2 linked regions of the Neurospora crassa OR74A genome follow. The protein of the gene in region 2 interacts with the protein of the main gene of each other region in a biochemical or structural test. Links are inferred from orthologs where the notes say so. Each region holds a gene or a part of one and is shown on either strand. Other genes may lie near its edges. The genes, in order: NCU07757 and hat-2.

The links.
Region 1: the proteins of hat-2 (region 2) and NCU07757 form a complex in vitro, tested with the Saccharomyces cerevisiae proteins (2 studies listed by BioGRID). The link is inferred for Neurospora crassa OR74A from reciprocal best matches to the Saccharomyces cerevisiae genes TAF1 and TAF6.

What each region holds. Positions count from the first base shown.
Region 1 is NC_026505.1:401,814-405,923, reverse strand, and holds NCU07757 (transcription initiation factor TFIID complex 60 kDa subunit), read right to left. Parts: upstream 2,640-4,110; 5' UTR 2,526-2,639; coding exon 2,141-2,525; intron 2,050-2,140; coding exon 1,037-2,049; 3' UTR 756-1,036; downstream 1-755. Other genes in the region: tca-11 (succinate dehydrogenase cytochrome b560 subunit), read left to right, coding at 1-179; NCU07758 (hypothetical protein), read right to left, coding at 3,038-3,216, 3,356-3,367, 3,578-3,740.
Region 2 is NC_026501.1:2,719,952-2,724,343, reverse strand, and holds the start of hat-2 (histone acetyl transferase-2), read right to left. Parts: upstream 2,924-4,392; 5' UTR 2,547-2,923; coding exon 1-2,546. Other genes in the region: NCU16368 (hypothetical protein), read left to right, coding at 4,326-4,392. UniProt on the Saccharomyces cerevisiae protein: Functions as a component of the DNA-binding general transcription factor complex TFIID. Binding of TFIID to a promoter (with or without TATA element) is the initial step in pre-initiation complex (PIC) formation.

The sequences.
Region 1 (4,110 bases), on a different chromosome or scaffold from region 2:
TCAAGGGCGCGCTCAAGTTCCTGGTCGCTTGGCCGTTTGTGTTCCACGCCATCAACGGCGTCAGACACTTGGCGTTCGATCTGGGCATTGGCTTCTCGAGGGCGACGATCATCAAGACTGGTTGGTACTTTTGGGGAGCGAGCATTGTGGGCGGTGTGTATTTGGCTTTTTTCATGTAGATCATCATTTTTCTTAGGAAGAAGGGTGGTTTAGGTGTGGTGAAGCTTGGTAGATAAGAGAAGGGATTGGGAGGAAGGAAGGAACGGGGGAAACTACTCTTGGACATAAAACTCCTGCGGTCATTTCCACGGAAAAAGATTGGGTCGTGTGCTGTATGAGTAAACCTGTTACCTAGAGGGGAGGAAGAGGAAGGGGAGGGAGGTTTGTTGAAATGGAGACATTCACTTTTTTTTTTCGTCCTTCGCGTGAAGCAAAGCACGCTTGAACCGTGGGTATATATATATGGTCTAGTGAGATCTGTGCTGCTGGTACGCAAACACGTTCCCAGGAACCTGCCATTAGTTTGTATCCAAAAAAAACTAAATAGAAGCTAAATCTTCGATGATCCAGCTCAGGGAACCATCGTGTTGTGTGGTTGTCGAGTGTCCAAGCACAAACGAACGAACGATCAATGATCACAACGAGTACATAAATCATCATGGAACAGTAGCCCGGAAGACAAGCATAGAAGGACGAACTGTTTTTAGGTCTAGTTCTCAAAGTATATCTTCAAGCCATGCAGTGAGCCAACTTTTCATCAATTTTGACCGACCCTCTGTACCTATCCGACTAACCAAGTCCATTCATTAAAACTCTCATATGAAAAACCAAACCCAAACGCCACGCTGTATGATTAAAAGAAAACCCCCAGGTAAGGATACAAAGTACGGGAAAATCTAAGTCCCGTAGGAATTCAACTTTTCGCGTGCTGCCGACCATTTTCCCTCCCTCCTTCAGTCTTTCTCTCACCTCCTTTTCAATCTCTTCTCTTCCATCATGATCGAGCTCTCATCGCCGCGGCGGCGGCATTCAACCACTACTCCAAATGCCTCACCTCCAAAATCCCCCGATTCAAATGCTGGTTCCCCAACCTCGCCACCCTTTCACCAATCGTCCTTCCCAAAAACTCAATCACCAACTGCCCCTCCCTCTCCAACTCGGCCACGTCCGCAACAACAGGCAGGGTGATCCCCTCCACCAGCGTCTCAATGGCCTTCATGATCCCTCCCACCAGCGCCTCGTACTCGAAATGGCTCGCCTCGCCCTTTTCGCGGAGCGGAGTCAAGATCCCCTCGTCAAACATCTTCAAGTTAGGAAGAACCAGGATGCGCACGGCCTCGGGCCCGCCGGCGGCCGCGAGCCCGCTGATGGCGCCGTACAAGACCGCAGGGGACTTGCTTGGGTCCAAAAAGAACTTGAGGCACGTGCGCGTGAGTTTGGGGCGCAACAGGGCGTTGGTCTTGGAATATTTCCGTGCGATGGTGCCGAGCAAACTGGCAGCCACTTCGCGGAGGCGGTACTGGTCTTTCAGGGCGTCGGTTCCTTCGAGACTGGATTCGGAGCCGCCGAGTTTGCGGGCCATGAGGCAGGTCAAGACGGGCGCGGCGAGGGAGGAGGCGTACGGGTCGAGAAAGATGGAGGGGTTGTCGAGGATGGCGCCGGTGAGTTCCATCATTTGCCGGAGCACAAAGAGGTCGTCGAGTCGGTGCGTCACTTGGTTGTTGATGAAGGACACAAAGTAGGGCACCAGTTGGTGGAGACCGGGGTCGGAGCGGACCGAGTCCAGAGCCGCGGAGCGCAGGCGCGTCTTTTCTTCGTCCGGGTCGTCGTCCATGATGGCCGCTTGGACTTTGTCAAAGTAGAGGATGAGCTCTTTGCTGATGACGTGCTTGACGGCGGGGCGGAAGGCGACGTTGTCGTTGCCGGCGAGGGCGGCGACGGCGGGGTTAGCGCCGGGACCCTTGGGCAGGAGGTCCTTGGAGGAGGTCTCGGCTGTGGTGGGGTTTTGGGGGATGGAGGGCTGGACGCCGTCGATTGCGAGCCAGTGGGCTGCGCGCGAGAGGAAGAAAAGTGTTAGCTGATGCGACTAGGTTGAGGTGAGGTGAGCACTGGGTGAGAGAGAGAACTGAAACAAGCTTACCAGTAAAGCTCATATCGCGGGGCACCTTTGGTAAGGGAGCGTTGATGACCTTCTCAAAGTCCACCTCCTCGTCTTCAATGTAGAACAGCGGTTGGCCGGGACCGATGCTGGCTTCTCCGTAGCGAAGTGGCCGCGTGGAATCGTATCCGTAGAGGGGCTCGACGTCGAGAACTCGTAGAGCTTGCGAGACATCTTGGACTGTCAGAGTGGTGCGATTGGCGGCGCGCATGAAGCGTAGGGCCTCGACGACGACCTGGCCAATTCGGTATTCGACATCTTGGGTGAGGACGCGGAGGGGCTCTTCGGTCAGGTTGATTCCTATCGACTCGGCGACATCCTTGACGTTCTCGGGGTTCCAGAGGAGTTTGGGTCCCTCCCCTGCCATGGTTCGTGAATTCGTCGGTTCGGTGTGATAATGTGGGTGGTAAAGTCTGTCTGGGGTGGGATGGTGGTCTGCAAATCGTCGATCCAAGTCGCGTGGAGGGAAGCTGTCGCGTTCATGGAATGATGTATGTACAGGTCAAACATCACAGTGGATGGACACACAAGGGCAGCTGACGAACCACGGAGAGCGGCCCCGCAGTGGGTTAGGGTTAGCGCAGTACCGCCAATGCTGATTTAGATACTATGTTAGTTTGGCACCCCGAGTAGAATCATATAGACTCGTCCTGAACGCCGTAATTGTCCTTCAACATGCAAATTTATTGTTGACGACATGGATTATGGAGCTTCGAGTGGCCATTTTCATCCAAACTCATGCCCTGGGAGTCAAAGAGCACTAATAACCACATGTGGTACCGTCTGGACAAGTTGACAAGAGGTCTCGAGCTAACAGACAACCCAGTATTGGACTGTACAGTGCAGACACTCCACACTATCCAACGACGTCCTTCGACTTCATCTCTTCAACCTCACCTTCCATTCACTCAGCATTGTCGTCCACGTTGTCGCCCGCACCCGCGATGTGGAGATATCTGGAGCATTCTTTCTGTACAGATTGTTGTACAGGATTCCGGAAATCAACAACCTCGCCTCGAAGGCGCCGCCAAACAGACGATGTATCTGGTCCGTCCCATCTGGAGTTACCAATCACCATCATGATTTGTAAACAACATCAACCTTCGACCTCGCTGTTCCTTCATGCAAGATTCGATTCCCAAGTTCCCCCCATATACGGACTTCAAGATTTCTGCTGTATTTTGCTTTGATACCTACATAAGCCCTTTTCTGGGCCAAATCATCAAGTGATTCATGAGTAACATGCCTCTACGTACGTTTGTTATTTTCCCATTAGTTGCTAGCTGACATTATTCTATCCTTATGGTGCTCATCTATGTCTGGCAGTGCTCCTTCACTTTTCTTTTTTTTTTCTCTTCAATTTTCTCTCCTCGTGGGGCTCTTGAGCCTTTGTCCAGTCTTCCCCCAAACTTTTCGTACCTGACTCGGGTAGCGGGTGTTGACAACGGAGGGTAGCATATAACGGCTCGAAGTATGGCTCATCACCATACCAGCGAGGGTTGGTCATCGCATAAGATGTGAGAAAGTTCCGCGCCGTTTCGATTCTCCCCTTTGAAGTATTTGCCGAATTATGAATCGACATCGCAGATCCTCCTGCCCTTGTCACAGAGCTAGCTGTACCAAACACCAGTGGCTAAATCCCATCCCATCAAATGTCCTTTATCCCAATATCTCCATCAAACGCTCAACGTTGCCCTGATATCCCTAGTAGGTACCCTAGTCTGGCTGGGAAATCCCCAACTACAATCAGCTCCTTTCCCATATGATGGCTTACACCAAAACAACAAAACTCTTTTGGAGACGGAAAAGGCTCCATGGACTATGTGCAGCTTTCTGTCCCAATACCGTTGCACACAGAAAAAAAACATTTCAGAGAAAAGACTGGACTGCTTCACTCCATTTGCAACAGGAGGCCACTGCAGACCCAACTTGATCAGATCTGCGTGAAACCG
Region 2 (4,392 bases):
GCCATTGGTCCTTGGAGCTGCTCAAGATAGCCGCCTTTCATGGACGTCCTCAGGAAACTGATGCCCAGTCCCTTGCCCGTCGGGTCGCCGGCGCCATGAACTGCAAGCATAGCCTTGCCATGACTGGCGTCAAGAAATGCCTTGGTAGTCTTCCAAGGCGCCATCTTGTTGGCAAGAGCATCTGGAGAGAGCTCATCGTTCACATCAACCCCAATGTCATCGTCCTTGAGGGAATCGGTAGCATCATAACCACCCTTCTCGATCTCGTGCAAGCCCACTTGCATGGCGTCCAATAGGCAGACCTCTTCCGGCCTAACAAGAGATCGAATGGCCGGTTCGGCCATTAGCTCTTCGCCTTCGGGCAGCGCCCAATCTTTTGTTTCCTTTCTAAAGCGCAGGAACTCCTTCAACTTTTGACGATTCTGAGACTCGTTGGACTCAGCTACATGCTTAGTAATATCATGGAGGGTAACATGCTCGCTCTTGCGAAGTAGGCGATACGAGACCATCTTGAGACGATTCTTGGCAATGTTTGTAACACGTCTGGAATGGGGCCCTGGGACTTCCATGGAGGGCAGGGTTTGGCCGACAACGTAAAGATGATCGATATTTCTGATGTACCAAGTTGAGCCTTTTTGGCCGGTACTGCTACGACCAATCAGGAAGTCTGTATTCCTCGGGTTATGCTTGAAAATAGGGGCGCGGAACATGTGGTTGTGAAGAGTAGGCACGACCTCGCCAGGGTGGACGTGACCGAAGATGGCGAAGGGTGAGCGATCTTCTGGCATCAATATACAAGTCTCGCCAAGCTCACGCTTCTCAGGTCTGCTATCAGCGCCTTTAGCTCGACGGAAGTAATTAATGATTTTCTGTCCCATGCCAAAGTTGGAGAGAACGGTGGGAATTTCCTCGCAGTACTCGAAAAGGATAGCGGTCGAGTTGTCGTTGAGGGAGAGGTCATGAGTACTCTTAAATACCTCGCTGACGCGTTTACCCTTGAGAGTCTTGCGCTTGATAATGGCAGGCTTGTCGAACCTGATGAGATACTGCAGATCCTTCTTAGGGTGGAGCTGAGGCCGGTGATAACTATGAGGGTCACTGGCCGCGAGCTTGACGCGGTAGTAAGGCCAAGACAGTCTCTGCGCAGGCAAACTGTGCTCGACAGGGATAGTAGCCAACGTGGCCCGAACCCTATTCTGGCTGTTCTCCTTCAACGCGTCGTAAGCAGCGTCAGAGGAGAAATTGAACCGCTGTATAAGGTCCCGCCCAGCTTTCCCATTCGCCAAGCGGACCGTTTTATGTTGGGTCTTTCGCCGCTTAGATGACCGCTCAGATTCGACGTCGTCTATCAGCAAATAAGGGTCGTTCATGTCAAGGATGACACGCTTGCCCAATTTCGAAGTGACCTGCTCGAATTCGTCCAAATTTGGAGCCGTGAAGTGAGCAATAGGAGGAAGACCTTTAGGAATTTCGATCTTTCTCCGCTTTTGAGCAGGCTCATCGAGGAACATGGCATCCCAGTCCGCCTCTTCATCAGGCTCATCCTTAATGAGCATGTTGTCAGGTTTCGGCTGCGGTCCCGGCTCGATGGCAGCCGCAAGACTGTCGCCCAAGAAAATCATCTGTTCCCAGTCCTGACATATCGTAGCTATGTCCTGGAGGGTATATCCACCTATCCTCTCCGAATCCGTTTCGTCGTCCAAGCTGAATACTTCCAGATCGGTTTGTTCCAAAGGCTCTGGCTCTTCGAGACAGAACAGACCTCTCGCTTCCGCTTCCTTAATCCTCTGCCAAACGGAGCCAGTGGCAGGGCCCGGAATCCGGAACTGCTTTTCCTGATCGGCATCCAACTCCAGACTGAGTTTTGATGGTATCAAGGGCTTGGGAGCTTTGGGGGGCTTTTTTGAGATCCATGTGGCATTCTTGGGCTTCAATAGTTCGTTCCAATGCAGGATGGCGTTTTCCTCAAAACCGGGGAATAGTTGCTTGACGGCGTCGATGAAGTTTTCCGCTGGCGGAGGAATGTCGGGATCTTGATTTGTCGCATGCGGCTCTTCGTCATTGTCGAAGTTGAGGTTCCGGAGGTCTTCAAGGGACTCCCCGGCGGCAGCATCCGGACGTTTTTTGGCATCAACATCGTCATGGACGTCGAGCGGCGGGGGAGAGGATCTCAGGCCATCGTGAGCTGTGTCCATGGGCGATGAGGGGTCGCCACCAAAGAGGTCGTCGTCATCATTAGTGCCGGCGTCGTCGATGAGGCTTGGCAGCTCGCCACTGGTGCCGGAAGTGCTCGGTTCGTCGTTGGGTAGCTCGTCCTCGTCGCTCAAGTCGATGTCCTCAAAGTCGATGGCATCGTCTGCCTTGCCTCGTTGATCGATCTCGCCTCCCGACTGGAGGTTCCCCAGCATTTCAGTCAGACCATCGTTACCACCCGGGCCGAAGCTGTTGTTGATCTGGCGAATGGCTTCCTCATCGCGGGCCTCCTGCTCCTTCCATCCTTCCTCATTGAGGGCGTTGAAATCAAAGTCGTCGTTGTCTGCGGGCATCTTGCCGGGCGGAGAGGCGATGCCGCCTCAACGCTGTGTGTTGTCGTCTGTCGCGCAGTCGTCCGCCCGTCTCTCTCTTGCTCCCTCCAACGGTTGCGCGGCCGGTTAAGCTGTCAGATCATGATCCTGGAGCGGAGAAATCGTCGAGAATGCCCGCGGCGGGGGAGCAAAGTGAACCAAGCGCGCGTTCGGTGTTGGTGGGGTGTTGGCAACGCCGCATGCAATTTTGGGTCGTGGTTGTGGCAGAGTCGAAATGGCCGTCGGGTGAGTCGAGGGTGAGGTTGACGTTGAGGTTGCAACGGTACCTAGCGGAAGTTGCAAAAGTGTTGAACCTCCCACAAGCAAGGAAGCACACTGCCACTGCGCGGAGTGCAAGCGTGCTTGAATGCGAACAACGAATCGGCCTGTCGGGGCCACTGCACGGCTACTCTAGGTACCTCTAAGTGGGTCCGTTGACCGGGCCCGGGTCTGGCAGCCGTGTGACAGCCTACCTAGGTACCTACCTATTCTAGATACCTAGCGAGCAGCCCCAGGGCAGTGACTGGGGGACGCTAAGTGCAGTGAATGGCTCGCGCACACTGTCCCTGGTCTTGAAGCATAATACCTAGGTAGCGTTGAACCTGGAACTTGCTTTGGGAATCTGGTAAGGAACCTGGAATAGGTAGGTAGGTACAGGTAGAGGTAGAGGTAGGTAGCCCAGGTACCTAATACCTAAACTGTACAACCTGGAAACTCGGGGCGTTGATTTTCAACTTCCTAGGAAATCAGGCATAACCTGTAAGCATGCTGCCCGATTATGTGCATTTTATGTCCACAAAATTAATTGGAGGAGACTTCCATGTTGCCACCCCGAAGCACGGTAAATTCGATTCTTCAATGTCCTGCCTTAAAACACCTATCTTTTCAAGGGCGCTGGAGCGTGGAGACATTCAAAATCACCGTCTTGCATAGAATTTTTGGTGGGCATGAATGTTGCAGTATGCTTACAGCTTAGGCCTGATTTCCCAGAAAGTTGAAAACCAACGCCCCGAGTCTATACGGTATGCGACCTCACCTACAACTTACAAGTACCATCCAGGTAAAGTAAAGAATATGGAGGAAGAACTAAAGCTTCCCCGCCTTGTGTGACAACCAAATCAACGGCAGGTACAGAAGGAATAGGACCCCGTTGGAGGCGAAGAGACATGAATCGAGAGCGAAATCAAATACTGATTAATTGATCTCTTACAACAGTAGAGTGACGCGCAACTTAAGTCCCGTCTCCCTCTCTGTTCGGGCCAAATGGCCACAATGTCACCCGCAACGTGGGGGGCAGAACACACCTGAACTGATGCGAGATGTCATTTCCAGTCTCTCTGGATTCTCATTTCTCTGCAACCACACTCGCACGCCCATACCAGTGCTCAGCCCGTTTTTGGCATGACAGTTCGGATGTTATACCCTGCGAACTGGCAGGGCCATGAAGTTCAGCAACAGTACACTCACTACCAATGGTGTTTTTGACGTACAGTGGGAAACTGTGTTAAAGCCACGGCCGAAGCCATGGTTACGTACTAGGCTGTCGGTAAAGCCAAAGCTACATTTACCTACTAGAGGTACTATTCCTCTTTCTTGAGATGACTGGATTAGGTGGTTTAAAGAATGTAACAAATCAGCCGATATTGTGGGCCACAGTCATACTGCGTCTACCATAGCAGCTTCGTCATCGCCTTTTGCACCGTTTTCTTTACCTCGCACACCAAGTGAAGTTTCGAGGGCAAAAATACCACACTGCTCACCATGGCAAACCCCGTAATGGAAGAGTTGAAGCAAAAGCAAGATGCTCTAAGGGCGAGGTTCGTCGGCA